Stegostoma tigrinum: one gene and its partners. The protein of the gene in region 1 binds, or shares a complex with, the protein of each later gene. Links are inferred from orthologs where the notes say so. Each region holds a gene or a part of one and is shown on either strand. Other genes may lie near its edges.

Evidence for each region.
Region 2: the proteins of cell cycle checkpoint control protein RAD9A-like (region 1) and rad1 are in contact, whole or in part, in a crystal structure (PDB 3GGR), measured with the Homo sapiens proteins. The link is inferred for Stegostoma tigrinum from reciprocal best matches to the Homo sapiens genes RAD9A and RAD1. Residues at the interface, in NP_004575.1 of Homo sapiens: Leu76, Ser82, Val83, Ser86, Leu90, Lys92, Leu112, Phe116, Gly117, Val118, Arg119, Lys120, Thr121, His122, Asn123, Leu124; in NP_002844.1 of Homo sapiens: Glu165, Ala166, Ser168, Glu169, Asn195, Ala196, Gly197, Ser198, Ser199, His200, Leu201, Asp202, Tyr203, Pro204, Asp206, Ser207, Glu211.
Region 3: the proteins of cell cycle checkpoint control protein RAD9A-like (region 1) and hus1 are in contact, whole or in part, in a crystal structure (PDB 3GGR), measured with the Homo sapiens proteins. The link is inferred for Stegostoma tigrinum from reciprocal best matches to the Homo sapiens genes RAD9A and HUS1. Residues at the interface, in NP_004575.1 of Homo sapiens: Leu157, Pro158, Pro161, Val176, Ala186, Lys191, Ala192, Met193, Val194, Thr195, Glu196, Met197, Cys198, Leu199, Gly200, Asp203; in NP_004498.1 of Homo sapiens: Thr84, Asn87, Arg90, Ala91, Lys93, Thr94, Phe110, Ser121, Ser123, Ser126, Arg127, Ile128, Val129, Thr130, His131, Asp132, Ile133, Pro134, Ile135.

The regions. Positions count from the first base shown.
Region 1 is NC_081399.1:1,877,683-1,888,464, reverse strand, and holds the start of cell cycle checkpoint control protein RAD9A-like, read right to left. Parts: upstream 4,748-10,782; 5' UTR 4,734-4,747; coding exon 4,673-4,733; intron 2,896-4,672; coding exon 2,825-2,895; intron 1-2,824. UniProt on the Homo sapiens protein: Component of the 9-1-1 cell-cycle checkpoint response complex that plays a major role in DNA repair. The 9-1-1 complex is recruited to DNA lesion upon damage by the RAD17-replication factor C (RFC) clamp loader complex.
Region 2 is NC_081369.1:67,980,293-67,990,142, reverse strand, and holds the start of rad1 (cell cycle checkpoint protein RAD1), read right to left. Parts: upstream 4,611-9,850; 5' UTR 4,010-4,610; coding exon 3,818-4,009; intron 1-3,817. UniProt on the Homo sapiens protein: Component of the 9-1-1 cell-cycle checkpoint response complex that plays a major role in DNA repair. The 9-1-1 complex is recruited to DNA lesion upon damage by the RAD17-replication factor C (RFC) clamp loader complex.
Region 3 is NC_081355.1:94,445,527-94,456,388, reverse strand, and holds the start of hus1 (checkpoint protein HUS1), read right to left. Parts: upstream 5,031-10,862; 5' UTR 4,989-5,030; coding exon 4,937-4,988; intron 1-4,936. UniProt on the Homo sapiens protein: Component of the 9-1-1 cell-cycle checkpoint response complex that plays a major role in DNA repair. The 9-1-1 complex is recruited to DNA lesion upon damage by the RAD17-replication factor C (RFC) clamp loader complex.

The DNA of each region.
Region 1 (10,782 bases):
CCCTCTCTCTCTCTCTCAGGGAGATATCTGTACACTGACTGGTGTCTCTCAGTCCCCTCTCTCTCAGGGAGATATCTGTACACTGACTGGTGTCTCTCAGTCCCCTCTCTCTCTCTCAGGGAGATATCTGTACACTGACTGGTGTCACTCATTCCCCCCTCTCTCTCTCTCAGGGAGATACCTGTACACTGACTGGTGTCTCTCAGTCCCCTCTCTCTCAGGGAGATATCTGTACACTGACTGGTGTCTCTCAGTCCCCTCTCTCTCAGGGAGATATCTGTACACTGACTGGTGTCTCTCAGTCCCTCTCTCTCTCTCAGGGAGATATCTGTACACTGACTGGTGTCTCTCAGTCCCCCCTCTCTCTCTCTCAGGGAGATATCTGTACACTGACTGGTGTCTCTCAGTCCCCTCTCTCTCTCTCTCTCAGTGAGATATCTGTACACTGACTGGTGTCTCTCAGTCCCTCTCTCTCTCTCAGGAAGATATCTGTACACTGACTGATGTCACTCATTCCCCCCTCTCTCTCTCTCTCTCAGGGAGGTATCTGTACACTGACTGGTGTCTCTCAGTCCCCTCTCTCTCAGGGAGATATCTGTACACTGACTGGTGTCTCTCAGTCCCCTCTCTCTCAGGGAGATATCTGTACACTGACTGGTGTCTCTCAGTCCCCTCTCTCAGGGAGATATCTGTACACTGACTGGTGTCTCTCAGTCCAAAACCTATCTCTCTCTCAGGGAGATATCTGTACACTGACTGGTGTCTCTCAGTCCCCTCTCTCTCTCTCTCAGGGAGATATCTGTACACTGACTGGTGTCTCTCAGTCCCCCCCCTCTCTCTCTCAGTGTGATATCTGTACACTGACTGGTGTCTCTCAGTCCACCCTCTCTCTCTCTCAGGGAGATATCTGTACACTGACTGGTGTCTCTCAGTCCCCTCTCTCTCAGGGAGATATCTGTACACTGACTGGTGTCTCTCAGTCCCCTCTCTCTCAGGGAGGTATCTGTACACTGACTAGTGTCTCTCAGTCCTCTCTCTCTCAGGGAGATATCTGTACACTGACTAGTGTCTCTCAGTCCCCCCTCTCTCTCAGGGAGGTATCTGTACACTGACTGGTGTCTCTCAGTCCCCCCCCTCTCTCTCTCAGGGAGATATCTGTACACTGACTGGTGGCTCTCAGTCCCCTCTCTCTCAGGGAGATATCTGTACACTGACTGGTGTCTCTCAGTCCCCCCTCTCTCTCAGGGAGATATCTGTACACTGACTGGTGTCTCTCAGTCCCCTCTCTCTCTCTCTCAGGGAGATATCTGTACACTGACTGGTGTCTCTCAGTTCCCCCCCTCTCTCTCTCAGTGTGATATCTGTACACTGACTGGTGTCTCTCAGTCCCCCCTCTCTCTCTCTCAGGGAGATATCTGTACACTGACTGGTGTCACTCATTCCCCCCTCTCTCTCTCTCAGGGAGATACCTGTACACTGACTGGTGTCTCTCAGTCCCCTCTCTCTCAGGGAGATACCTGTACACTGACTGGTGTCTCTCAGTCCCCTCTCTCTCAGGGAGATATCTGTACACTGACTGGTGTCTCTCAGTCCCCTCTCTCTCAGGGAGATATCTGTACACTGACTGGTGTCTCTCAGTCCCTCTCTCTCTCTCAGGGAGATATCTGTACACTGACTGGTGTCTCTCAGTCCCTCTCTCTCAGGGAGATATCTGTACACTGACTGGTGTCTCTCAGTCCCTCTCTCTCTCTCAGGGAGATATCTGTACACTGACTGGTGTCTCTCAGTCCCTCTCTCTCTCTCAGGAAGATATCTGTACACTGACTGATGTCACTCATTCCCCCCTCTCTCTCTCTCTCTCAGGAAGATATCTGTACACTGACTGGTGTCTCTCAGTCCCCCCCCTCTCTCTCTCAGGGAGATATCTGTACACTGACTGGTGTCTCTCAGTCCCCTCTCTCTCAGGGAGATATCTGTACACTGACTGGTGTCTCTCAGTCCCCCCTCTCTCTCTCAGGGAGGTATCTGTACACTGAATGGTGTCTCTCAGTCCCCTCTCTCTCTCTGTGGGAGATATCTGTACACTGACTGGTGTCTCTCAGTCCCCCCTCTCTCTCAGGGAGATATCTGTACACTGACTGGTGTCTCTCAGTCCCCCCTCTCTCTCTCAGGGAGATATCTGTACACTGACTGGTGTCTCTCAGTCCCCTCTCTCTCTCAGGGAGATATCTGTACCTGACTGGAGTCTCTCAGTCCCCCCTCTCTCTCTCAGGGAGATTTCTGTACCATGACTGGTGTCTCTCAGTCCCCCCTCTCTCTCTCAGGGAGATTTCTGTACCATGACTGGTGTCTCTCAGTCCCCCCTCTCTCTCTCAGGGAGATATCTGTACACTGACTGGTGTCTCTCAGTCCCCTCTCTCTCTCTCTCAGGGAGATATCTGTACACTGACTGGTGTCTCTCAGTCCCCCCTCTCTCTCTCAGGGAGATATCTGTACACTGACTGGTGTCTCTCAGTACCCCCTCTCTCTCTCTCTCTCAGGGAGATATCTGTACACTGACTGGTGTCTCTCAGTTCCCCCTCTCTCTCTCTCAGGGAGATATCTGTACACTGGCTGGTGTCTCTCAGTCCCCTCTCTCTCTCTCAGGGAGATATCTGTACACTGACTGGTGTCCCTCAGTCCCCTCTCTCTCTCTCAGGGAGATATCTGTACACTGACTGGTGTCTCTCAGTCCCCTCTCTCTCTCTCAGAGAGATATCTGTACACTGACTGGTGTGTCAGCTCTCCACTTCTTGCTTTCATCTTTCCATGCAATAATACTCACTCCTTCATCGAATGCCTCAAGGTAACAGTCTTCACCAATCCGCGAGAGTGCGTGTATTGCTCTCCCAATAACTAAATCCAGAAAATATTCACAAAATAAGTTTATCAATGACAGAGCATTACGTCCAATTAAGCACTGTAAGTCATCAGCGCATGTTATTCAGTGCTGAGGGAGCGCCACACTGTCGGAGGGTCCGTGCTGAGGGAGCGGGCACTGTCGGAGGGTCAGTGCTGAGGGAGCGGGCACTGTCGGAGGGGTCAGCGCTGAGGGAGTGGGCACTGTCGGAGGGGTCAGCGCTGAGGGAGCGGGCACTGTCGGAGGGGTCAGCGCTGAGGGAGCGGGCACTGTCGGGGGCGTCAGCGCTGAGGGAGCGGGCACTGTCGGGGGCGTCAGCGCTGAGGGAGCGGGCACTGTCGGGGGCGTCAGCGCTGAGGGAGCGGGCACTGTCGGGGGGTCAGTGCTGAGGGAGCGGGCGCTGTCGGAGGGTCAGTTACTGGGAACATAATCAGAAATTGCTGGAAAAGCTCAGCAGGTCCAGCAGCGTCAGTGAAGCTGTAGTATCCGGTGACTCTTCCTCAGAAACAAGAACATAGACACGGTCAGATCTGCTGAGCTTTTCCAGCGATTTGTGTGTTTGTTCCCAGTCACCGACACCTGACCTTGTGGCCTCTCTCGGCAGGGCTTCTGGAGTTTTATTTCTGCAATTGCTGGCACTTCAGTCTCGCGGGTAGACAATGAGGCAACAGTGTAAACCTTGAGGGGTCGGGGCGGAGGGGGACTGAGGGGTCGGGGCGGAGGGGGACTGAGGGGTCGGGGCGGAGGGGGACTGAGGGGGACAGGGGGGTCAGGGCGGAGGGGGACTGAGGGGGACTGAGGGGTCGGGGCGGAGGGGGACTGAGGGGTCGGGGCGGAGGGGGACTGAGGGGTCGGGGCGGAGGGGGACTGAGGGGTCGGGGCGGAGGGGGACTGAGGGGTCGGGGCGGAGGGGGACTGAGGGGTCGGGGCGGAGGGGGACTGAGGGGTCGGGGCGGAGGGGGACTGAGGGGGACAGGGGGGTCAGGGCGGAGGGGGGCTGAGAGGGACTGAGGGGTCAGGGCGGAGGGGGATTGAGGGGGACTGAGGGGTCAGGGCGGAGGGGGACTGAGGGGTCGGGGCGGAGGGGGACTGAGGGGTCGGGGCGGAGGGGGACTGAGGGGTCGGGGCGGAGGGGGGCTGAGGGGTCGGGGCGGAGGGGGGCTGAGGGGTCGGGGCGGAGGGGGGCTGAGGGGTCGGGGCGGAGGGGGGCTGAGGGGGACAGGGGGGTCAGGGCGGAGGGGGACTGAGGGGTCAGGGCGGAGGGGGACTGAGGGGTCGGGGCGGAGGGGGACTGAGGGGTCAGGAGGAGTGAGGGGGAGGGGCTTAGGTTCAGGGAAAGGGGACAGACAGGGTGAGGGTCAGTGGGAGGAGTCAGGGTAAGGGAGTGAGGGGTCAGGGGTCAGTGGGAGGGGTCAGGGTAAGGGCGTGAGGTCAGTGGGAGGTGTCAGGGTAAGGGAGTGAGGGGTCAGGGGTCAGTGGGAGGGGTCAGGGTAAGGGCGTGAGGTCAGTGGGACGAGTCAGGGTAAGGGAGTGAGGGGTCAGGGGTCAGTGGGAGGGGTCAGGGTAAGGGCGTGAGGTCAGTGGGACGAGTCAGGGTAAGGCAGTGAGGGGTCAGTGGGAGGAGTCAGGGTAAGGCAGTGAGGGGTCAGTGGGAGGAGTCAGTGAGAGGGTGAGGGGGCGAGGGGTCAGTGGGAGGAGTCAGCGTGAGGCAGTGAGAGGGTGAGGGGTGAGGGGCTAAGGGTTAAGATTATGTCTCCCCTCCCCCCGCCATACCGCTCACGTTGCCGCCTGTCACCACGAACCGCATCCTCGACCCGAACGCTTCCTCTCCCATATACCGCTCTCCTATTGGCTGAGCCCACCACAATTCATCCTCAAACAAAACGCCCTGCCATTGGCCGGACCTAAATCCGCCCCGCAGGCCCAGTACCCGGATGTGCCACTATTTAAAAGGCCCCGCCCGCCCCGCAGGCTCTTAAAGCCGACACACCCTAAGATTTGATTTAAAAGGTGTCGACCAAAATTCCATAAAAGGGGGAACCACTCTGCAATTGTGTTTCATCATTTGGCCATTCGGCCCGTCGAGTTCCTACCATGATAAAGCACCTTAATGCTGAGTAAAACTACAAATACAATACTTTCAAGTTTACTGACTCTGCACCATAGGCCAGGCAAGTAATAGGGTCCATCAGGAGAACATTTTCTAGGTAACGAGGGGTGGAGCTGGAGGAACACAGGCCCAAGCAGCATGTCAGGAGCCCAAATGCTGACATCTCAGGTCTTGGCCCGAAACGTCAGCCTTCCTGCCCCTCTGATGCTGCTGGGCCTGTTGTGTTCCACCAGTTCCACACCGTGTTATCTCAGATTCTCCAGCATCGGCAGTTCCCACTGTCTCTGATACAACATTTCCTAGCTTCCACCTTTCATTGAAACATAGCAGGAACCAACACAGACAGGCCACTCAGTGTATCACACCTCCTCCACCAGTCAATATGATCATGCCTGAGAAGTAAGCTCCATGACTGCTCACGTTTACCACCCCCCATTTCCCTCAAAACCATGAGACACAAGAGATACATCAAACACCTTCTTGAAACATCTAATGTTCCGGAGTAAATTCCACCGGCACATCACTCTGTGTCGATGGACATAACAGGATTTCCCATCATTTCCCCCCAAAATTGCATTTTCCGTCAGAGTCTGCACAGCGATAGATTCTCTAGTTTCCTCAAATACACCACACCGTGCACAGTTCCAGTCTCTATATCCCTCAGTCAGACCCACACTGGGAGCACCGCGCACAGTTCCGGTCTCTATGTCCCTCAGTTAGTCCCACACTGGGAGCACGGTGCACAGTTCCAGTCTCTATATCTCTCAGTCAGACCCACACTGGGAGCACTGTGCACAGTTCCAGTCTCTATATCCCTCAGTTTGACCCACACTGGGAGCACTGTGCACAGTTCCTGTCTCTGTATCTGTTGGTTAGTCTTCATAGAGAGAAGGGACATTCGTCAGTGTGCAGATATTTCCCTGAGAGACAGAGAGAGAGAGAGAGAGAGAGCGGGGGGAACTGAGAGACGCCGTTCAATGTGCAGATATCTCCCTGAGAGAGAGAGAGGGGACTGAGAGACACCAGTCGGTGTACAGATATCTCCCTGAGAGAGAGAGAGGGGACTGAGAGACACCAGTCAGTGTACAGACATCTCCCTGAGAGAGAGAGGGGGTTACTGAGAGACACCAGTCAGTGTACAGATATCTCCCTGAGAGAGAGAGGGGGTTACTGAGAGACACCAGTCAGTGTACAGACATCTCCCTGAGAGAGAGAGGGGGTTACTGAGAGACACCAGTCAGTGTACAGATATCTCCCTGAGAGAGAGAGAGAGGGGGGACTGAGAGACACCAGTCAGTGTACAGATATCTCCCTGAGAGAGGGGAGACTGAGAGACACCAGTCAGTGTACAGATATCTCCCTGAGAGAGGGGGGAGTGAGAGACACCAGTCAGTGTACAGATATCTCCCTAAGAGAGAGAGAGAGAGAGGGGACTGAGAGACACAAGTCAGTGTACAGATATCTCCCTGAGAGAGTGTGATAACTAGAGGTGTATTAATCCTCCTGCTGTTTCTGTCTCAAATCTGTAACTTGCCCAGTCTGAGTGTCGAAGTGAAATGTTTGTGGAATACTGAACCTCATGTTCAGGGATTCTGATCTTGATTGAAAACTGCTGGTGTCATTACAGTTTCAAATGGTGACTGGCATTGCACCAGCCTGACATCCTAGCTCTGGGCAGTGCCTGCCTTTTAAGCTGTCTCATTGATAGATTCCATCATTACACTATTAACACACCCCGTCAGGTTTACTTTGACAGAGGGATGGAGTGACCGAGGTAACAGGTTTTGCTCATTCTGACCTGCTCTGAAGAGAAAGGGCCCACTTCCAGATGCTGTGCTGGGCTTTGTCCAGTAGATGGGAGCAGAAGATAATGCAGCTTTCCCTGTCTCCGTGTGAATCCAATCCCTGAGCAATTGGTTACCACACTCTCGCTTGTAGTCACTCAGGAGCATGGGCATCTCTGTCTGGGCCCAGCATTTATTGCTCCGTCCCTAGTTGCCCCCCTTGAGAAGGTGGGGGTGAGCTGCCTTGAACCGCTGCAGTCCGTGGGTGTTCCTTAGGGAGGGAATTCCAGGGATTCTGACCCAGCGACACTGAAGGAACGGGGGTATATTTCCGAGTCAGGATGAGGGGTGGCTCTGAGGGGAACTTGCAGGGGGTGGGGGTCCCATGTACCTGCTGCCCCTTGTCCTTCTGGATGGAAGTGTTTGTGGTGTGAATGTTGGCACACTGTTACATATCAAGGACCAGGAGATCACACACAACTCACGAACTCCTCATGCAGCGAGGAACCTCGGGATGGGGAAAGGTCTGCATCAAGGGCTTTTCTTTGTGGGGTGCCACCATGGGGCAACTGGGGCTGGGTCAGAGATCTGGGTGAAGTCAAGTGATGGGGAAAAGGCATATGGGTTTCTAGAGCTTTGTCCGTCCCCTCGGAGCTGTCGGGGCTGGACTGTGAGAAGTGGACAGGACAACAGAATCAATTGTAAATTGGAGCGCTGGGATGGAGTCACTGCTGACATGGGCTATGGGACGGTTGTGGACGAGCGGTTATGGACTTGAGCTGTGTGTTGAGTGTTATGATACAGACTGGCTGTGAACCAGCTACATGGCCTCCTGCTGTCCCCCTGTGTAACAGGCTGGGGAAGGGGCTGATGGCCTCCTGCTGTCCCCCTGTGTAACAGGCCGTGGAAGGGGCTGAATGGCCTCCTGCTGTCCCCCTGTGTAACAGGCTGGGGAAGGGGCTGAATGGCCTCCTGCTGTCCCCCTGTGTAACAGGCCAGGGAAGGGGCTGAATGGCCTCCTGCTGTTCCGCTGTGTAACAGGTTGGGGAAGGGGCTGAATGGCCTCCTGCTGTCCCCCCTGTGTATCTGGCTGGGGAAGGGGCTGAATGGCCTCCTGCTGTCCCCCTGTGTAACAGGCTGGGGAAGGGGCTGAATGTTAAATATAAATGATTTACGCTTGAATGTAGGAGGTTGATACAAAAAATGGATGGGATAGTGAGGAGTGAGGAGGTTATCCTGAGATGTCGGGGGGGACATAGACGGGTCGGTCCAATGGGCTGGTCAGTGGAAAATGCAATTCATTCTGGATATGCCTGAGGGGGTGCACTCGGGTAGAACAAATGAGGCTAGGGAATACACAATTAATTGAGGATCAGAGGGACGACAATTTACTCTGGTCCTTTATGGGGGCAGAACAGTTAGATAAAGTGGTTCAGAAGCAAAAAGGATACATGCCTTTAATCAGCCAAGGTGCAGAGTTTAAGATCAGAGAGGAGATGTTGACAATGTCTAAAATATTGACCAAAATAAAACAATGAATCATGGATGCGTAAGCCTGAAACAAAAGTAGAAGCAGCTGCAGAAAGTCTGCAGGTCTGGTAGCATCTTTGGGGGAGAGACAGGGTTGAGGTTTCAGGTTCAGTACTGACAACAGCTTGGAAAAAGTTGGCTCGTTTACTGAAGTTGGGGAGCAGTAAATGTGAGCTGGAGATGGAGCTCAAACGGTTTGGGTAGATAAACGAATGGGTTATGTGGTGGGAATCGGGAACTCACTGCTTGTAAGAGTGGGAGGGGCAGAAATCCTCAGGACGTTGAAGAGCTGGGTGGCACGGTGGCTCAGTGGTGAGCACAGCAGCCTCACAGCACCAGGGACCCGAGTTCGATTCCAGCCTTGGGCAACTGTCTGTGTGGAGTTTGCGTATTCTCCCTGTGTGCGTGGGTTTCCTCCGGGTGCTCCGATTTCTTCCCACAGTCCAAAGATGGGCAGGCTGTGTGGATCGGCCATGCCAAATTGCCCCGAGTGTTCAGGGGTGTGTGGGTTGTAGGGGGATGGGGCTGGGTGGGATGCTTCAAGGGGCAGTGTGGGCTTGTTGGACCGCAGGGCCTATACCCACACAGTAGGGCATCTAATCTATTTCGATGTGCACTTGTGATGACAACACTACGGGCGTGAGCTGGGATAAAGGATGAGAGAGTTTAAAGGTGGTTGTTTGAGCTGGCACAGACTTAATGGGTCAAAGGGCCTTTTCTGGCAAAGTAAATCTCCAAGAACATATGACCCTAAAGGACTCCTCCAGTCCCTGTGTAACAGGATCACAAAACGGCTGCATGGTCTCCGACGGTTCCTGTTCTTTCACCTTAAAGGGCTGATGCATTCAAATATGATTCTAGTCTCTATATCCCTCAGTCAGACCCACATTGGGAGCACCGTGCACAGTTCCTGTCTCTGTATCCCTCAGTCAGACCCACACTGGGATCACTGTGCACAGTTCCTGTCTCTATATCCCTCAGTCAGACCCACACTGGGATCACTGTGCACAGTTCCTGTCTCTATATCCCTCAGTTAGACCCACACTGGGATCACTGTGCACAGTTCCGGTCTCTATATCCCTCAGTTAGACCCACACTGGGAGCACCGTGCACAGTTCCGGTCTCTATATCCCTCAGTCAGACCCACACAGGGATCACCGTGCACAGTTCCTGTCTCTGTATCCCTCAGTTAGACCCACACTGGGAGCACCGTGCACAGTTCCAGTCTCTGTATCCCTCAGTTAGACCCACACTGGGAGCACCGTGCACAGTTCCGGTCTCTATATCCCTCAGTCAGACCCACACTGGGATCACTGTGCACAGTTCCTGTCTCTATATCCCTCAGTCAGACCCACACTGGGAGCACTGTGTACAGTTCCGGTCTCTATATCCCTCAGTTAGACCCACACTGGGATCACTGTGCACAGTTCCTGTCTCTATATCCCTCAGTTGGACCCACACAGGGATCACCGTGCACAGTTCCTGTCTCTGTATCCCCCAGTTAGACCCACACTGGGAGCACCGTGCACAGTTCCAGTCTCTGTATCCCTCAGTTAGACCCACACTGGGAGCACCATGCACAGTTCCGGTCTCTATATCCCTCAGTCAGACCCACACTGGGATCACTGTGCACAGTTCCTGTCTCTATATCCCTCAGTCAGACCCACACCGGGAGCACTGTGCACAGTTCCTGTCTCTGTATCCCTCAGTTAGACCCACACTGGGATCACTGTGCACAGTTCCTGTCTCTATATCCCTCAGTTGGACCCACACAGGGATCACCGTGCACAGTTCCTGTCTCTGTATCCCTCAGTTAGACCCACACTGGGATCACCGTGCACAGTTCCGGTCTCTATATCCCTCAGTCAGACCCACACTGGGAGCACCGTGCACAGTTCCTGTCTCTGTATCCCTCAGTTAGACCCACACTGGGATCACTGTGCACAGTTCCTGTCTCTATATCCCTCAGTTAGACCCACACTGGGAGCACCGTGCACAGTTCCGGTCTCTATATCCCTCAGTCAGACCCACACCGGGAGCACCGTGCACAGTTCCTGTCTCTGTATCCCTCAGTTAGACCCACACTGGGATCACTGTGCACAGTTCCTGTCTCTATATCCCTCAGTTAGACCCACACTGGGAGCACCGTGCACAGTTCCGGTCTCTATGTCCCTCAGTCAGACCCACACTGGGAGCACCGTGCACAGTTCCGGTCTCTCTATCCCTCAGTTAGACCCACACTGGGAATGTGGTGAAGAAGACCAATACAGAATGGTAATATACATACACATCAGAAAGTCAGTGCTGAGGGAGTGGGCACTGTCGGAGGGTCAGTGCTGAGAGAGTGGGCACTGTCGGATGGTCAGTGCTGAGGGAGCATGCACTGTCGGAGGGTCAGTGCTGAGAGAGTGGGCACTGTCGGAGGGTCAGTGCTGAGGGAGTGGGCGCTGTCGGAGGGT
Region 2 (9,850 bases), on another chromosome or scaffold:
CAAGTCCCTTCGTACTCTGAGGTAAATGTCTTCACTGTCCACTAAATCACCAATTGCAAACTTACTAACCTTCCACCAATAACCTCTGCCTCCTACTTTCAATCCAAATTTGTATCCAAATGGCCAGTTCTCCCTGTATTCCACGTGCTTTAACCTTGCTAACCAGTCAAACATAGAGATAACAGGTTAATAAAATGTGAGGCTGGATGAACACAGCAGGCCAAGCAGCATCTCAGGAGCACAAAAGCTGACGTTCGGGCCTAGACCCTTCATCAGAGAGGGGGATGGGATGAGGGTTCTGGAATAAATAGGGAGAGGGGGAGAGGCGGACCGAAGATGGAGAGAAAAGAAGAAGAAAAAAAGACCACCTATCTTCTTGTCTTCTTTTCTCTCCATCTTCGGTCCGCCTCCCCCTCTCTCCCTATTTATTCCAGAACCCTCATCCCATCCCCCTCTCTGATGAAGGGTCTAGGCCCGAACGTCAGCTTTTGTGCTCCTGAGATGCTGCTTGGCCTGCTGTGTTCATCCAGCCTCACATTTTATTATCTTGGATTCTCCAGCATCTGCAGTTCCCATTATCACTCAAACATAGAGATAACGTCCGCCGCTCTGACTTCATCAATCTTCTTCGTCACTTCTTCAAAAAATGCAGTCAAGTTAGCGAGCCATGACTTCCAACATGCAAAGCCATTTTGACTATAGTTAATCAGTCCTTGCCTTTCCAATGTAAACCCTGTCCCTCAGAATCCCCTCCAACAACTCATGATGTCAGGCTCACTGGTTTATAGTTCCCTGACTTTTCATTATCATCTTTCTTAAATAGTGACACTTCATTAGCCAACAAACAGTCTTCTGGCACCTCACCCGTGGCTATCCATGATACAGATATCTCAACAAGGAGGCCAGCAATCACTTCCCTTGCTTCCCACAAACCTCTAGGTACACCCAATTATGTCTCGAGAATTTAACCACGTTTATGCGTTTTAACATGTCCAGCACCACCTCCTCTGTAATATGGAGCGTTTAAGATATCGGTATTTATTTTTCCAAGTTCTCTAGCTTCCATATCCTTTTCCAAAGTAAGTGCTGATGCGAAATATTCATTCAGTATCTCACCTACCTCCTGCAGCTCCACACATCGGCAGCCTTGCTTCTTTTAGGGGCCCTATTCACTCCCTAGTTAATCTTTTGTTCTTAATGTATTTGTAGAGTCCCTTTGGATTCTTCTTAGTCCTACCATGTCTCCTTTCTTCCCATCCTGATTTCCCTCGAGAATACTCCTATTACCCTTATACTCTTACAAGGATTCACTCGATCCCTGCTGTCTATATTTGATAAATAATTTCTTCTTTCTGGGCCTCAACTCTATGGTCATCCAGCAATTCCTCACTTACCAGCGTTGCCCTTCACACTACCGTATTTTTTGAAGGTTTCCCACTTTCCAGACATCCATTTTCCTGTGAATACCCAACCCCCAACATCCCCCAATTAACTGTTGATACTTCTTGCTTAATCAGACTTACTCCAATTTAGTTCTTTAACATTTAGATCAGGTCCAAGCTTTTCCACGACTGTTTTAAAATGAATAGAATTATAATCACTCGGTCCAAACTGCTCCCCCATTGATACCGCAGACACTTGCCCTGCCTTATTTTCCAGGAGAAAGACACATTTGCCTTTTCTCTAGTAGGTACATCCACATACCAAATAAGAAAACTTTCTTGTGTACACTTTACAAATTCCTCTCTGTCCAAGCCCTTAACATGGCAGTCACAATTTATGTCTGGAAAGTTAAATTGCTTTACAGTTACACCCCTATTATTCTTACTGATAACTGAGATCTCGGTACAAATTTCTCAATTTTCCGCTGACGGTTCCTCTGTAGACTCTTTGGTTATCCTCACCTCTTAACTTTCCAAATTCTTTTTTGTATCATCCAAAATCTTGTTGATAATACAATCACTTCCCACATCCAAGTCATTCCTATACAACTACAAAAAATTCCACAGTATCTCTTTTCAGACTCCAGACTCAGCCCCAAACTTGCCACAACTCCTTTCCTTCCCTCTCCCAGGGCCCGGTATCTGCTCTTTCCCCCTTCCTCTGTCCAAAGCCCTTGGCATTTTTACCTCCTCCCCCAGTATCGTCCCATGGCCCCTAAACTCCAGAATTCTCCTTCCCCAACTACCCTGCACTGTATCCTCCACCCTGGATCCTCTCCCACAACCCCAATTCCCCACGCACACTCCCTTTCCCGATCCCCCCCTCATATCCTCCGTAACACCATCCCCGATGAATTCTCACACCTGCCCCCCACCCAGATATTCCCACACTACCCCACCCGCCACCAAACCTCCCTCACACCCTCCCCTGGCACCACCCCTCACAGTGAACCCCCCCACCTCCCAATACCCCTCTCAATCCCTCATACCCTCCCCGACACCACCGCTCACAGTGACCCCCACAACCGCCTCACACCGTTCCCACCTCCCACCTCCCAATCTCCCCTCAATCCCTCACACCCTCCCCCGGCGCCACCCCTCACACTGACCCTCCCAATCCCTCACACCGACCCTCCCAATCCCTCACACCCTCCCCCGGCACCACCCCTCACACTGACCCTCCCAATCCCTCACACCCTCCCCCGGCACCACCCCTCACACTGACCCTCCCAATCCCTCACACCCTCCCCCGGCACCACCCCTCACACTGACCCTCCCAATCCCTCACACCCTCCCCCGGCACCACCCCTCACACTGACCCTCCCAATCCCTCACACCCTCCCCCGGCACCACCCCTCACACTGACCCTCCCAATCCCTCACACCCTCCCCCGGCACCACCCCTCACACTGACCCTCCCAATCCCTCACACCCTCCCCCGGCACCACCCCTCACACTGACCCTCCCAATCCCTCACACCCTCCCCCGGCACCACCCCTCACACTGACCCTCCCAATCCCTCACACCCTCCCCCGGCACCACCCCTCACACTGACCCTCCCAATCCCTCACACCCTCCCCCGGCACCACCCCTCACACTGACCCTCCCAATCCCTCACACCCTCCCCCGGCACCACCCCTCACACTGACCCTCCCAATCCCTCACACCCTCCCCCGGCACCACCCCTCACACTGACCCTCCCAATCCCTCACACCCTCCCCCGGCACCACCCCTCACACTGACCCTCCCAATCCCTCACACCCTACCCCGGCACCACCCCTCACACTGACCCTCCCAATCCCTCACACCCTACCCCGGCACCACCCCTCACACTGACCCTCCCAATCCCTCACACCCTACCCCGGCACCACCCCTCACACTGACCCCCCCAATCCCTCACACCCTCCCCTGGCACCACCCCTCACACTGACCCCCCCAACCCCCCTCACACTGACCCCCCCACCTCCCCTCACACTGACCCCCCCACCTCCCCTCACACTGACCCCCCCACCTCCCAGTCCCCCTTCAATCCTTCACGCCCTCCCCTGACAACCCCTCACACTGACACCCCCCCAAATCCCTCACAACCTCCCCTGACACCCCCCCTCACGCTCTCCCCTGACATCCCCCTCACACTGACCCCCCCAATCCCTCACACCCTCCCCTGACACCCCCCCAATCCCTCACACCCTCCCCTGACACTCCCCCTCACACTGACCCCCCAAATCCCTCACACCGACACCCCAAATCCTTCACACCCTCCCCTGACACCACCCCACTGACACCCCTGAATCCCTCACACCCTCCTCCCAATCCTTCACACCCCACCCCCGACACCCGCCCGATGAACTCTCACACCTCCCACCCCCCCGGTACCTGGATGAACGCGTTCCCCTGGACGCTCTTGGCGGCCTCAGCTGTCACCCTGATGCCGTTAGCGGAGGCGAACACCGTCGCCTGGTCTCGGAAATTAACGGCTTTAAGCAGATTTGACAGATTCCGCACATTTTCTAAACTGGCGACGAGAACAAACCGTTCGGCTCCCGCCTCAGGCCTGGGCTGAGGCATTGCGCCCACGATCGGTAAAACTCCAGGCCCAGGCTTCAGTCACGGTTAGGCCGCAGCTGCTTCCGCGGAGTCTCAGCTCCAGGCAGCAGACAGATACAACAGGTTTGAATTGATGAATAAATCTTCGGCACTTACAGCCAACTAAACCATTCAATCACCATTGAAACCGTAGGAGGCCATTCAGCCCGTTGTGCCTGTGCAACGCTCGGGCTGTCCTTCAGCTTTGTCTGTTCAATTCCCTCCTTTGGCGCCGCGCCCGCCAAACTATCAAACACAACCTGTTGCTGCTGTCAAAATGACCCTCCTCCAGGGATCGTTTATGTCTTCTAACAACTCTCTTAAATCTGTGCAACTCCATCAGCCTCCTGTACCCTAAATAAAACAAACTCAGCCTCCTGTACCCTAAATAAAACAAACTCAACCTGTCCTTCAGAACTGATACTTTTCATTGCAGGCAATATCCTGGTGAATCTCCTCTGTAACCTCTCCAGTGTAGTCATACAAAAAAAGAACAAAGAAAATTACAGCACAAGAACAGGCCCTTCGGCCCTCCAAGCTTTTGCCGATCCCAGATCCTCTGTCTAAACCTGTCACCTATTTTTCACCTATCCCTCTACTCCCTGCCCATTCATGTATCTGTCTAGATACATCTTAAAAGACATTATTGTGTTCGCCTCTACCACCTCCACTGGCAACACGGTCCAGGCACCCACCACCCTCTGCATAAAGAACTTTCCAGACATAGCGCCCTTAAACTTTTCCCCCTCTCACCTTGAAATCATGACCCCTAGAAATTGAATTCCCCACACTGGGAAAAAGTTTCTTGCTATCTATACCTCTCATGATTTTGTAGACCTTGATCAGGTCCCCCTCAAACTCCATCTTTCTAACGTAAACAATCCTAATCTACTCAACCTCTCTTCATAGCTAGCGCCCTCCATACCACGCAACATCCTGGTGAACCTCCTCTGCACCCTCTCCAAAGCATCCACATCCAGGGCTGTTAAGAAGGCATACAGTGTTTTAGCTTTCATTAATAGAGGAATCGAGTTCCGGAACCAAGAGGTTATGCTGCAGCTGTACAAAACTCTGGTGCGGCCACACTTGGAGTATTGCGTACAGTTCTGGTCACCGCATTATAAGAAGGATGTGGAAGCTTTGGAAAGGGTGCAGAGGAGATTTACTAGGATGTTGGCTGGTACGGAGGGAAGGTCTTACGAGGAAAGGCTGAGGGACTTGAGGCTGTTTTCACTAGAGAGAAGAAGGTTGAGAGGTGACTTAATTGAAACATATAAAATAATTAGAGGGTTAGATAGGGTGGATAGGGAGTGCCTTTTTCCTAGGATGGTGACGGCGAGCACGAGGGGGCATAGCTTTAAATTGAGGGGTGAAAGATATAGGACAGATGCCAGAGGTGGTTTCTTTACTCAGAGAGTAGTAAGGGAATGGAACACTTTGCCTGCAACGGTAGTAGATTCGCCAACTTTAGGTACATTTAAGTCTTCATTGGATAAGCATATGGATGTACATGGAATAGTGTAGGTTAGATGGGCTTGAGATCGGTATGACATGTCGGTACAACATTGAGGGCCGAAGGGCCTGTACTGTGCTGTAGTGTTCTGTGTTCTATGTTCTATGTTCTATCCTTTTGGTAATGTGATGAACAGAACTGTACACAGTATTCCAAATGTGGTCGAACCAAAGTCCGAGACAACTGTAACATGACCTGCCAACTCAATACCCCGTCCGATGAATGAAAGCATGCCGTATGCCTTCTTGATCACTCTATCGACCTGCATTGTCATCTTCAGGGTACAATGGACGTGAACACCCAAATCTCTCTTTGCATCAATTTTCCCCAGGACTTTTCCATTTACCGTATAGTTCACTCTTGAATTGGATCTTCCAGAATGCAACACCTCGGATTTGCCTGGATTGAACTCCATCAGCCATTTCTCCATCTAACGTCCAAGCTATCTATATTGTGCCGCATATTCTGACAGCCCCCTTCACTATCTGCTACACCGCCAATCTTAGTGTCATCTGCAAACTTGCTAATCAGGCCATCTGTACCTTCCTCCAGATCATTTATGGAACATTCATCGGTACTGGATATGAAATTTGTTGAGGGCTAGGAAACAGTGATTAATAGCCAGTGGGTATTTCATGGGCTGGAGGACAGCTTGTAATAGAGGTTTTGGGGGCTGAGCATTATAATCATAGAATTTAACACTATAAAAGGAGACCATTTAATCCATTGTGTTTGAACCACATTTTGAAAGAGCCACCCAACTGGTCCCATTTTCCGGGCCCTATCCATGTAACCTTCTAAATTCATCACTTTTATGTGTAGACCCATCTCTCTTTTGAAACCTCCTATCAAATCCACCTACGCTGCACTACCAGGTAGCACATTCCAAATGCTGACAACTCGCTGAGTAAAGACGTTTTTCCTCATTTCACTCCTACCTGGCTTACTGACAATCTTAAAATTGTAACCACTAGTTACTGACATATCAAGTAGTAGAAATAGAATATCCTTCTTTACCCTGTCAAAATTGTTCATAATTTTGAACACCTCAGTAAGGTCACCTCTTAATCTCTGCTCCAAGGAGAATAAGCCCAATTTCTCTATTTTTTTCTAATATCTAAAATCCCTCATTCGTATTACCATTGTAATAAACCTCCTTTGAACTCTCACCAGATGAATAAGCAGTGCTCTGTTTTCAAATAAACATGTTGGACTATAACTTGGTGTCATGTGATTTCTGATTTTGTCCACTCCGGTCCAACACCGGCACGTCCACAGCATGACTTTAACATCCTTCTTTAAATAAGGTATCCAGAACTGAACACAATTTTAAATGTGGTCTTACCAATAATTTGTGGAGGTGTAGCATCACCTCCTTGTTTTTTTTTCAAAATATGATTTATTGGGCAAAGTATCTCAAAAGTACATTCTATGTTGATATTGTTTAATATCATAGTACACAAAGTCTTTTAGTGTTACCATAGTTCAACTGATACCATAAGTAAACAACTCACATCTGGAAACATTGAAATCAATAACACAAAGTGTATGCAGTTAAATAACAATTCTGCTGATAAATAAGATTCCACACGATGATTTTACTTGGTATTGCCTGACTACATAATTCCATATTCCTTGTACACGGATTTCAGTTTTTCCACAGAGATGATGTAATCTATTTTCCCAAAATCAATGGAAATGCCAAGCACTGAAATCTTTTTTTCTCCATTTTGTTGTGATCAATGTTTCCATCCCCCAGGCATTTGTATTCCAGCTCCAGCTCTTCTATTTCAGGGACCAATTTTTCACAAATATTATTGGTGCCCCTCACAATGCCCTTGTATTCCAAGCTGCCCTTCTTGCTAACCCTCATTAGGATGTATTTGAAAACCCTGAGATAACTAGGTGTAGAGCTGGATGAACACAGCAGGCCAAGCAGCATCAGAGGAGCAGGAAGGTTGACGTTTCAGGCCTAGACACTTCTTCATTTTCGAAAAGGTACTAGGCCGGAAACATCAACCTTCCTGCTCCTCTGATGCTACTTGGCCTGCTGTGTTCATCCAGCTCTACACTTGTTATCTCAGATTCTCCTACATCTGCAGTTCCTACTATCTTTGAAAACCCTGTCAGGATATCTCCATGTTGGCCACAGCAGTCGGTTTGACTACGCGTCTTTTTATAAACCCAAGGATCCTATAAATTTTCTTAACAATGATTTCAACTTACCTGGCCACCTTCAGAGAATTTTGTGAACCCCGAAGTCTGTCTGCTCCTGTATTCCCTCAGAGTTGTATCATTGAGCCTGTATTGTCAATTTTTTTTTCTACCAAAATGCATTACTTGACATTTCTCTCCAATGAAATACATCTGCTAAGTGTGAGCCCATTTGGCCAACTTGTCAGCATCCCTCAGGGGTGACACGGCAGCTCATTGGTTAGCACTGCTGTCTCACTGTGCCATGGACGTGGTTTCAATTCCAGCACTGGGCGACTGTATGGAGTTGGCACATTCTCCCATGTCTACATGGATGTGCTCCGGTTTCCTCCCACAGTCCAAAGATTTGCAGGCTAGGTGCAGTTTCCATGCTAAATGCAGGGTCACACAGATAGGATATGGGGGTGGGTCTAGATGGAATGCTTTTCGGAGGGCCATTGTCTCGAAGGGCTGAATGGCCTGCTTCTACACTTATCTTAGTCACTCAGCATCATCCTCACAATTCATTATTCACCCTAGCTTATAATGATTTGCAAATTTAAAGATTTTCCCTCAACATCTATCTTCAAATCATAAATATAAATCAGAAAAAGCAAGGGTTCCAACACCAGTTCCCGGTGATCACCATTTTTAACATGTCTCTGATCTGAAAAATGCCTATCTATTCATACCCTCTTTTTCCTATCTTTTAAACAACTTTGAATCCCTACCATCATGTACCCAATGATCTAAATATAAAAGTCTAAATATACAGCATTAACAAAACTACCCTTATCCTCTGCCTGTGTTACCCTGTCAAAGAAGTTAACTAAATTTGTCAGACATGATCTGCCTTTGACAAAGCCATGTTGATTGCCTAGTATTAGCTTATTTTACTCTAAGCGTGTATTTACTTTATCCCATATTACGGCCTCCATCAGTTTACCTACCACTGATGTCATGCTGACTGGTATGCAGTCCTGGGTTATTATATGCCTGTTTCTTAAACAACAATTGGGTCCTATTCTGATCTTGATACATATAAATAATCTAGATCTAGGTGTTCAGGGTACAATTTCAAAGTTAATAAATGACACAAACCATGGAAGAATGTTAAGCCAATAGGAGGACAATGTAAAAGACAAAAGGCAGTAGACAAGTTGGGTGGAACGGATAGATACTTGATAGATGAAGTTCTGTGTGGAAAAGCACAAGGTGATATATTTTGATACAAAGGACACCAAATGACAGGATATTCTGAAGTGTATGTGTTCTGAAAGGTGTGCAGGAGCAGAGAAACCTGAATGAATAGGCACATAAGTCATCAAAGATACCAGGACAGGTAGAGACAGCTGTTAATAAAGCATTGAGTAGAGTTATACATTTGTACAGCATGGAAACAAACCCCTCAGTCCAACTCATTCAGGCTGACCAAATATCCAATATTAATCTAGTCCCATTTACCAGCATTTTGCCCAGAAGCCTCTAAACCCTTACTATTCATGTACCCATCTAGATACTTTTTAACTATTACAATTGTACCAGCCTCCACTACTTCCTCTGGCACCTCATTCCATAGATGCATCACCCTCTGTGTGAAATAGCTGTTCCTGAGATCCTTTTTATAACTCTTCCCTCTCAAGTTAAACCTATGCTGTAGTGTTTTGGACTCCCCCCGCCCTGGGGAAAAAAACATTGGCTATTCTCCTTGTTCATGCCCTTATTGACTTTATAGAACATAGAACAGTACAGCATAATACAGGCCCTTTTGCCCACAATATTGTGCTGAACTTTTACCCTGAACCTAAGATCTATGTAACCTCCACTGCTACCTTATACTATCATCTATATGCCTTTCTAATAGTTGCTTAAATGCCCATAATGACGCCGACTCCGACCCTCTCCAGCAACGCATTCCACGCCCCTACCACTCTCAATTAGTAGGTAAGAGATGGGGGTGCGGCTTGAGGTGGGAGGAGCGGATAGGTGAGAGGAAGAACACTTTAGGGAGGCAGGGACGAGCTGGGCTGGTTTTGGGACACAGTGGGGGAGGGGAGATTTTGAAGCTGGTGAAATCCACATTGATACCATTGGGCTGCAGGGTTCCCAAGCAGAAT
Region 3 (10,862 bases), on another chromosome or scaffold:
TAACTTCATAGGCCCAACATATTTCATTTCCATCAAGCCAGGGGATCAACTTTGGTTCAATGAGCAGTGCAGGTGTGCATCTCAGGAGCAAAATTGGGCTTACCTAAATATAAGGAGACAATGTGGTGAAGCTACGACACAACACGACTTGCCATAGGCAAAGCAAAACAATCCCATGACCAATGGATCAGGTCTAGGCTCCACAGTCCTTCCATATTCAGGTGGTGAAAAACTAAACAACTGACAGGACGAGGAGGTGGGTCCATAATTATCCCCATTCTCAATGATGGAAGAGCCAAACAGATCTTTAAGAGAGATAAGGCTGAAGACATGTACGAATATTTTCAGCAAGAGTCCAGTGAATGATCCAGCTTGTACTCTTCCTGAGATCCCCAGCATCAAAAATGACAGTCTTCAGCCAACTTGATTCATTTGACAAAATATGGAGAAAACTCAAGCCTGCAAAGGCTATGGGTGCTAACCACATAGCAGCAATAGTACTGAAGATTTATGCTTCAACAATAAGCTGCCAGCTAAGCCAACAGCACTGGCATCGAATGAAAACTATAAAAAATTCCCAGATACGTCTGTCCATAAAAAGAAGGACAAATCAAACCTGGCCAACTGCTACCCAATCAGTCTTTTCTGATCAACAAAGTGACAAAAAGTGCTATTAATCGCACTATTAAGCAGCAGTTACTGCATCATTACTTGCTCATTCATGCTCAGTTTGCTGCCCACTTGGGCCACACAACACCTGACCAAATTCCAGCCTTGGTCCAAACATGCACAAATAACCAAACTTAAAAGGTGGGGTGAAGGTGACTATCCTTGATAACAAGGCAACATTTGACCAAGTATCAAGGAGCATCAACAAAACTGGACTCAATGGGATGCAGGGTATGACTCCTTGCAGTTTCCACTGCATGCAGTCATACCTAACACAAATGTTTGAGCTTCTTAAAAGTCATTTGTTTCAGTCCTTGGGCTCCCCTGCAGGAGTTTCTCAGGGTCATCTCCTAGGACCAACCATTTTCAGTTGCTTAGTTCTCATTGTCATAATGTCAGAAGTAGAAATGTTTGCAGATAATTGCACAACGTTTAGCAGCATTCAAGACTCCTCAGGTACTTTTTTAAAACTCATTCATGAAGTATGGAATTTTGCTGGCTGGTCCAGCATTTATTTCCCATCCCCAACTGCCCAGACAGGAATGAAAAGTCAACCAAATTGTAGGTCTGTCGTCACATGTAGGCCAGATCTGGTCAGGATGACAGGCTTCCTGCCCTAAAACACATTGGTAAACCAGATGGGTTTTTATGACAATGGATGCCATTAGACTAGCCTTATTTTAAATTCCAGTTGTCTTTTATTGAATCAAATTTCACCATTTGCCAGGGCGGGATTTTAAAGCATGTCACCAGAGAATAAGGTGGGAGCTCTGGATTACTAGTCCTGTTGCATTATCACTACACTACCAACCCTCCCGGATGGAAGCATTGGATAATCAAGCAATGATACCTGGACAATATCCAGGTTGGGCTGATAAATTGTAAGCCACACTTGTCCCTTACAAGAGCCAAACAATGATCATTTCCAATAAAACAGAATCTGACTGTTACCCCCATGACATTCAACGACATTACCATTGCTGAATCCTCTATGAACTTCCTGGAGGTTATCATTGCTCAGAAGCTGAACTGGAATAGCTAAATACATACAGTGGTTACAAGCACAAGTCAAAACTTCAATGGCAAGCATCTTATCATCTGACTCCTGAAAGTGTCCATTATCTACAAGGCTCAAGTCAGAATTGTGGAGAGGTACTCTCCACTTGCCTCGAAGTGTGCCACTCCAGCAGCCTTCAAAAAACTTGACATGAACGAGGACAAAGCAGCCCACTTTATTGGCAACACATCCACCACCTTCAACATTCATTCCTCTAGCTCCAGCATACAGTGGCAACAGTGTGCACCATTGACAAGATGCATTGCATAAATTTACTAAGGTTCTTTCAATAACACTTCTGAAACTTACAACCATGTAAAACAAATGCATGCGAGCAACACAACCTGAAACTTCCCTTCCAAACCATGTATCATCCTGACTTGGAACTATATCACCATTCCTTCATTGTCACTGGATCAAAATCCTGGAATTCCCTTCCTTACAGCACTGTGGTGTACCCTTCCGTGACTGCAGCAATTAAAGAAGGAAACGCAACACCACCTTTCTTCCCCCACAATGAGGGACTGGCAATAAATGCCCAGCCAGCAATAGCCAGATCGAACAAATAAACTAAAAATAAGCAACTCCATTTTTCTGCCTGCTCCCCACAAATCTCGATTCCCTATTAATCAATGTGTCAAATTAAACTTCGCATTTATTCAATGATCCACCCTCCATTTATTGCTAGGGAAGAGAATTCCAAACACGAATGGTCCTCAGTGAAAAAATTCTTACTCATTTCCTTCTGAAATAGGAGATTCCCTGTTTTTAATTTAAGCCTTTTAGCTCTGGATTCCCTCAAGAGAGGAAGACTTCTCTCAGGATCTACTTTGTCAAATTTCCTTAGAAACATACATCTCTCATTTTTCTAAACTACAATGAGAAAAAGGCCAATCTGCTGACCCCAAATGCATTTCTGTCCTTTCTTGCAGAAAGAGACCAAAAATTAATTTCATTTTACAATAGAAACAAAGCCTTTATTATTGTTTCTGGTAAATTTATCACCTATTAAAAGTTTGAGTGAAGAAGTGCAGTAACTCTCCAATCATTTCAGACGTAGTCTAGCTGTACCTGCAGGCTGACTTTCCACAATTGTGTACAATGGCACCACGATCCTTCTGTTCTGCAACATCCTGCTGTCTTCAAGACGGTAAGATGTTGAAGTTGAAGTAGGCCATTCAGTTTATGGAGTCTGCTCTGCCATTCAATGAGATCGTGGCTGATCTCACTCTAAACACCACTTTTCCGCCTTTTCCCCATAAATTGGATTCTCTTTTTCCCCTTATATAAAGTTTTAACGTTCTATTCTTTTTGCCAAAGTGGAAATGTCACTTACAGTGCGGAACAACGTTGCAGGTTACAGAGGGACATAGATAAGCTGCAGAGCTGGGCTGAGAGGTGGCAAATGGAGTTTAATGCGGAAAAGTGTGAGGTGATTCACTTTGGAAGGAATAACAGGAATAGAGAGTACTGGGCCAATTGGTATGATTCTTGGTAGTGTGGATGAGCAGAGAGATCTCGGTGTCCATGTGCATAGATCCCTGAAAGTTGCAAACAGGTTCATAGGGTTGTTAAGAAGGTGTACAGTGTTTTAGGTTTCATTGGTAGAGGGATTGGGTTTCGGAGCCATGAGGTCATGTTGCAGCTGTACTAAACTCTGGTGTGGCCACGCTTGAAGTAGTGCGTACAGTTCTGGTCACTGCATTATAGGAAGGATGTGGAAATATTGGAAAGGGTGCAGAAGAGCTTTACCAGGATGTTGCCTGGTATGGAGTCTTATGAGGAAAGGCTGAGGGACTTGAGGCTGTTAAAAGGCGACTTAATAGAGACATACAAGATGATCAGAGGATTAGATAGGGTGGACAGTGAGAGCCTTTTTCCTCGGCTAGCACGAGGGGACGTAGCTTTAAATTGAGGAGTGATAGATATAGGACAGATGTCAGAGGTAGGTTCTTTACTCAGAGGGAAGTAAGGGCATGGAATGCCCTGCTTGCATCAGTAGTAGACTCGCCATCTTTAAGGGCCTTTAAATGGTCATTGGATAAACACATGGATGAGAATGGAATAGTGTAGGTGAGATGGGCTTCAGATTGGTTTCACAGTTCAGCGCAACATCAAGGCCGAAGGGCCTGTTCTGCGCTGTAATGTTCTATGTCATGTTTTCCCAAATGTATTCCATCTGTCAAATTTTGTTCACTTATTTAAATACACTTTTTTTAAAGACTCCTTGTATCTTTATATTTTCAGCAAATTTATGTTTTGTTCACAAGTTGTGGGCATTGCTGGCTAGTTAAGTATTTATTGCCCATCACAAATTTCCCTTATTTTTGAGATTGCGTGATGTGCAATTAGTTGTCCACTTTCCTTTATGATAATGCTACACCATTGGAAAACAGCAAAATAGCATACACTTCCATGTCATCTTGTCATAATAATAATTTGCATCTGTTTTACTCAAATATAGAAAGGGTACATACTTGTCATAATGGTATCAAATATTTGCCTATGTTTTGAGACAGGTATCTAAAAGGCAAGTTACTTTATGGAATTTCATTATTGGGTGGATTTCCAGGAGCTGAAGGGGTTTCAGAGAGGGTTCAAGACGTTTAAAAGCCATCAACAAAGGTGAAATTGAGGGAGTATGTAAAGAGGTGGGAAAATACAAAACCGACAAAAGTTTGAGCCGCTGGAGAAAAAGCACAAAACGTCTCTCAGCCAAAAACAGAGTTTTAAAACCTGGTTTGGTAATGAGTGACCAGAAAGTGCAGCGAATGGATTGTGGGGTAATTTATAACTCATCTACAGAACAAGGTTGGAGTTTTAAAAAAATGAAGATGTGAAGGAAAATGTGAATAGGGCTTCAGTGACAGTAACAGTAACGGACTTATGGACAAGTCTTGAAACAGAACTGGGTGAATTTGAAAAAAGATTGAAACAGAACTGGGTGAATTTGAAAAAAGATTGAACAAGAGGTCATTGCAGCATCCACACGAGCTGTACCCTGACCAAAAAAGGAAAAGAGATAACAAGGTGTAGAGCTGGATGAACACAGCAGGCCAAGCAGCGTCATAGCAGCATGATGTTGCTCCTATCATACTGCTTGGTCTGCTGTGTTCATCCAGCTCTACAGCTTGTTAACTCAGATTCTCCAGCAGCTGCAGTTCCGACTATCCAAGAAAGGAAAAGACCGGCTTCATCTTACTGACTTACGGGTAAAATGATTTAAGCAACCAACATCAACGATCTTCCCTCTAAACTTCATCCTTGCGTCGACCGGATATAGAATGAGCTCGTCAACGCGCGACATCACTTCCGCTCCGACTGGACGCCGCTTGGTTACCACGACAACAGCCAAGGGCCAAGATGGTTTGGAGGGAAAGGGGCGGTCTCCTGTACTCGAGAGGAAGGTCACTTGGTTACCCGGGTAAGGGGCGAGGACTCGTCTCCTGTGCGCCAGGGAGGGTAGGGCTGGATGGTGAATAGACACCTGAGCACCAGGAGCAGTGTGGATGATGTAACATAGTGTGGAGGTGGAGGAACACAGCAAACCAGGCAGCATCAGAGGAGCAAGAAAGGTGACCTTTCAGGTCGGGACTTTTTCTGCAGAAGGGTCCAGACCCGAAACATCAACTTTCCTGTTCCTCTGATGTTGCTTGGCCAGCTATGTTCCTCCAACTCCACACTCTGTGATCTCTGACTCCAGCATCGGCAGTTCTTACTATCTCTGCGGTGTGGATGCTGGTTGTCTGGATGGGTTGCAGGGCATAATGATGCCACCTGTAGGTTGCAGGAACAGGAACTCATATTCCACTTGGGAACCCTGCAGCCCAATGGCATCAGTGTGGATTTCAAGATAACAAAGTGTGAAGCTGGATGAACACAGCAGGCCAAGCAGCACCTCAGGAGCACAAAAGCTGACATTTCGGGCCTAGACCCTTCATCAGAGGGCCCTCTCTGATGAAGGTTCTAGGCCCGAAATGTCAGCTTTTGTGCTCCTGAGATGCTGCTTGGCCTGCTGTGTTCATCCAGCTTCACACTTTGTTATCTTGGATTCTCCAGCATCTGCAGTTCACATCATCTCAGTGTGGATTTCACCAGCTTTAAAATCTCCCCTCCCCCCACTGCATCCCAAAACCACTCCAGCTCGTCGCCACCTTCCTAACCTGTTCTTCCTCTCATCTGTCTGCTCCTCCCACCTCAAGTAGCACCTCCATTTTCTACCTACTAACCTCATCCCGCCCCCTTGACCTGTCCATCCTCCCCAGACAGACCTATCCCCTCCCTACCTTCCTCCACCCCCATACTCTCCTCTCCACCTATCCTCTCCTGTATCCATCTTCGGTCTGCCTCCCCCCACTCCCTATTTATTTCAGAATCCTCTCCCCATCCCCCTTTTCTGATGAAGGGTCTCGGCCCGAACCATCAGCTTTTGTGCTCCTAAGATGCTGCTTGGCCTGCTGTGTTCATCCAGGTCCACACTTTGTTATCTTGGATCCAAGGGAAGGTCATTTCATCAAGTTGTAGCATGTGCATAAATAATGTCAGAGGAGGGAATGGGTAGACTGAGGAAAGGGACCCAAGGCTGGGTTTCTTAGGAGTCTTTAAGGTGAAAATTCAGTAAACCGAAGGAAAAGAATTTCGAACTGACAAACGAGCAGTGCTCCAGAAGTTGTGATTTCAGATAAACCTGGTGGACTACAGTCTGCTAAAGTGTGACTTCTGACAGTGCAACAGAGAAGCTTTACACAAGCTGGGAGAACAACACCTCATTTTTTGCTTGGGAACCTGGCAATCTTCTGGACTCAATATCAATTTTAGTAATTTTAGGGCCTGAGCTCCTCCCCTGTCCCAACTCAAAGCCCATGCTTTGTCATCACATGAGCTGCTATCACAAACAACCCATTGTCAGTCACTAATAGTTCCCCTATACGGCTATTCATTCTCCCAGGCTGATCTTTATCCATTCTGTTGTCTACTCAACAATATTTCTCTTTCTCTCTGCACTCTATCTCCATTTGTGGTTTACTCCTTCCCCTTCCCTAACCCCTAACCCCTTGTTTAGTATATATACCAACATTTTCCCAGCTACAATAATTCTAAAGAAGTGCTACTGGACCTGAAATGCTTCTCTCCACAGTTGTTGCCAGACCTGTTGAGTGTCAACAGCAATTTCTGCTTTTGTTTTTGGTGAATGATGATCTTTTTTGACAGGCAAGATTGAAACCACTGATTGCAATTTATTGGATCTGCAGCAGAGAGAGACAAAAGTGTAGTGTGAATGCCATACACAGGGAGATACATGAGGGCATATTTGGTCCATGAGAATCACATTACAGCTGGTGTTGACTCATGTCACTTTGAATTGATAATAATCCTTTCAATGTTGTAAAAAGCTCCGGGCACCATAATCAACTAAAAACTGAAACCCAACCAAGCAAAGGCAATGCGGTGGCTCAGTGGTTAGCACTGCAGCCTCACAGTGCCAGGGACCCGGGTTCAATTCCAGCCTCGGGTAACTGTCTGTGTGGAGTTTGCACATTGTCCCCGTGTCTGTGTGGGTTTCCTCCGGGTGCTCCGGTTTCCTCCCACAGTCCAAAGATATGCAGGCTAGGTGGATCAGCCGTGCTAAATTGCCTGTAGTGTTCCGGGTTGTGTGGGTTATAGGGGGATGGGTCTGGGTGGGATGCTTCAAGGGGTGACGTGGACTTGTTGTGCCAAAGGGCCTGTTTCCACACTGTAGGGAATCTAATCTAATCTAACCAAAAGCTTGGTCACAGAGATGGCTTTACAAACTGCCTTATAGAAGGTTAGGGTATAGATGCAAAGAGGTTTATGGAGGAAATTTCAAATATCAGCAGTTGATCGTTGAAGAAATGGCTGTCCATGGTGAGTTGAAGGAATAACCAATGCACAGAAGAACAAAATTTTACGTGGAAAAGCCACATTCAATTTGAGATGAAAAAATAACATGCAGTGAAAGACTGAATAACATTCAGTTGACTACACAGGATGGATTGCAATGCCGACCTCATGTAATGTTTATGTCAAATGTGTGAACATAGTGGTAGAAGAGCAAAATGATTGAAATTCTTTGGAGGTCTGACAGCATCTGTGGAATGCTGAAAAATAATGTGACCAGACTGGTACATTGGTAACCCAAAGGTCTGTGAATTGATCTGCTGCATCAATGACAACTTTTTTGTAAATCATTCTGTGTTCAAGAAATGATGTAAGGATATACCCAGGAACTATTGACCATTCCAATTTAATGTTTCTGGTAGGAAAGGTTTATGAGGTGATTATTCAAAACAAAACTGGCAGACACTTAGATAAGTGCAGAATTGTTAGGAAAGCTGGAATGGATTTGTTCAAGGCAAGTTATATTTCACTAACTTGATCAAGGTGAAAAAAGTGTTGATATTGTGTGAGTAACCTACCAATTGCTTAGATAGGACATGGAAAGAAAGAGGTTGTGCTAAGGGAATATGAATAACGAGAGACAAAATTAAATCGAAAAACTGCAAAGCTAACTGCTGAATTACTACCTGAGGCACAAGCAAATTGGCATATGTTAAAATCAAAAAGAATGTGTGGCTGAAAAAATGGGTTTAAATTCTGAAGGCACTGACACCAGCAGTGCAGAAAACAGAAACTGTAATACTGGGTATAATGGGAACTGCAGATGCTGGAGAATCCAAGATCATAAAGTGTGAAGCTGGATGAACACAGCAGGCCAAGCAGCATCTCAGGAGCACAAAAGCTGATGTTTCAGGCCTAGACCCTTCAACAGACAGGGGGATGGGGTGAGGGTTCTGGAATAAATAGGGAGAGAGGGGGAAGCGGACGGAAGATGGAGAGAAAAGAAGACAGGTGGAGAGGAGCGTATAGGTGGGGAGGTATGGAGGCGATAGGTCAGTCCAGGGAAGACAGACAGGTCAAGGAGGTGGGATGAGGTTAGTAGGTAGGAAATGGAGGTGCGGCTTGGGGTCGGAGGAAGGGATGGGTGAGAGGAGGAACAGGTTAGGGAGGCAGAGACAGGCTGGGCTGGTTTTGGGATGCAGTGGGTGGAGGGAAAGAGCTGGGCTGGTTGTGTGATTGCGAACCGAGCAGAGGTGTTCTGCAAAGCGGTCCCCAAGCCTCCGCTTGGTTCCCCAATCATCCAGTTCATCCAGCTTCACACTTTATTATACTGTAATACTGAGACTGGCTTTGCTTAAGTCATTCTGGAGCCAGTGACCCGAAAAACTGAATGACTAGGACTTTAGAGAGGACTTGAAATAATAGTACGAATGATGGTAATCAGAGTGTGACAGGAAAAACACAATATATATAAGTTGCAGGGTACTAGAAATTGGAAACAGAGTAAGGATAAATGGAATGACGGCACAATGGGTAGCATGGTGGCTCAGTGGGTATCATTGCTGCCTCGCAGTGCCTGTGACCTATGTTCAATTCCAACCTCAGTGACTATCTCTTTCGTAAAGAGGTAAGTTTTGGAAAATAGAAATCTCATCAGGTCTCATGGAGAGGAGCCATCCATGAAGCATGATAAAATTGACACAATGCTTATTTCTGCTGAATTTCAACAATTTCAAACTCTGTGCACAAAGTTCTTTTATATTTATTTTAGGGAACGATTGGATGACATTGAGAAAATGTCGGAAACCATTATCAAAGGACGAATTGCAGGATATTTAGCTAACTATAACAAGCAGGTAGAGTCAAAATAGTCATGAGAAAGGGAAATTGTGTTGCACAAATTTATGACGGTCTTTGAGGATGAAACAAGCAGAGTAGATAAAGTAAATTTGGATTTCCTGTGTTTTTATACTTGATGATCTGTGACAATAAATTCCAGTTATAATTCATAAGAGTGGGTTTGGTAATTAAAGAGTTGAATTTGCTAACTCAGCCTCACTGCAACAAACCCGCAGGTGCAGCGCATGGTAAAGAAGGCAAATGGTATGTTGACCTTCATTGCGAGAGGTTTTGAGTACAGGAGCAGCCTTGTTGTCGCAGTTATACAGGGCCTTGGTGAGGCCACACCTCGAATGTTGTGCAGTTTTGGCCTCCTTTTCTGAGGAAGGATGCTCTTGCTCCCAAGGAAGTGCAGAAAAGGTTTGCCATGCTGATTCCAGGGATAAAAATGAAAAGAAGTGCAGATGCTGTAAATCAGGCATAAAACAGGGGTTGCTTGAAATGCTCAGCAGGTCTGGTATCATCTGTGAAGAAAAAAATCAGAGTTAACGTTTCAGGTCCAGACAGAAGGAAGGGTCACCAGATCCAAAACGTTAACTCTGAATTTTTCTTTACAGGTGCTGTCAGACCAGCTGAGCTTCTCCAGCAACTTCTGTTTCTCTTTTGATTCCAGGGATGGTGGGTCAAACATATGAGGAGAGTTTGACCTGGTTGGGATTGTTTCACAAGAGTTCCAATGAATGAGTTGGAATATCATAGACACTTATAAAATTCTAACAGTCCTGGACAAGGTCGATGCAAGGAGGATGTTCCTGCTGGTGGGTGTGTCCAGAACCAGGGATCACAGTATGAAGATTTGGGGTCGATCATTTAGGACAGAGATGAGAAGTTATTTCTTACCCAAAGAGTGGTGAGCCTGTGGAATTCATTATCACAGGACGTGGTTGATGCCACAACATTGACTGGATTCAAGAAGCAACTAGATAGAGCACTAGGGGTAAATGAAATAAAAGGTTATGGTGAGAAAGCATCAGCCACAATCGTGAAGAATGGCGGAGCAGGCTCAAAGGGCCAAATGGTCTATTCCTGCTCCTATTTTCCATCTTTTTATGTTTCTCCAAAACTCAACACAACTTGGACTTCGTCAAAAATTGTACGATTCAGCCCAATGTATTAAATACATAGGCAACTTGCCATAGCAATCAAATTTGATGCATGTCCACTTTGATCGCAACATTTGTTTTCCTGTCTTGCTCTTGACAGAGTATCCATTATAATCTTGTTTCTTTCCGATCTGTAAATTATTTTCAAATTATATGGTTGCAGTATTAATGCCTACACATATGATCATTTTCCTATGTGTAACTGTGTGAGATATCAAAGGTCTCCCCATAACTACCATGTCCTGGACCTTTGGTGTTAGATGTTCCCTTAAATA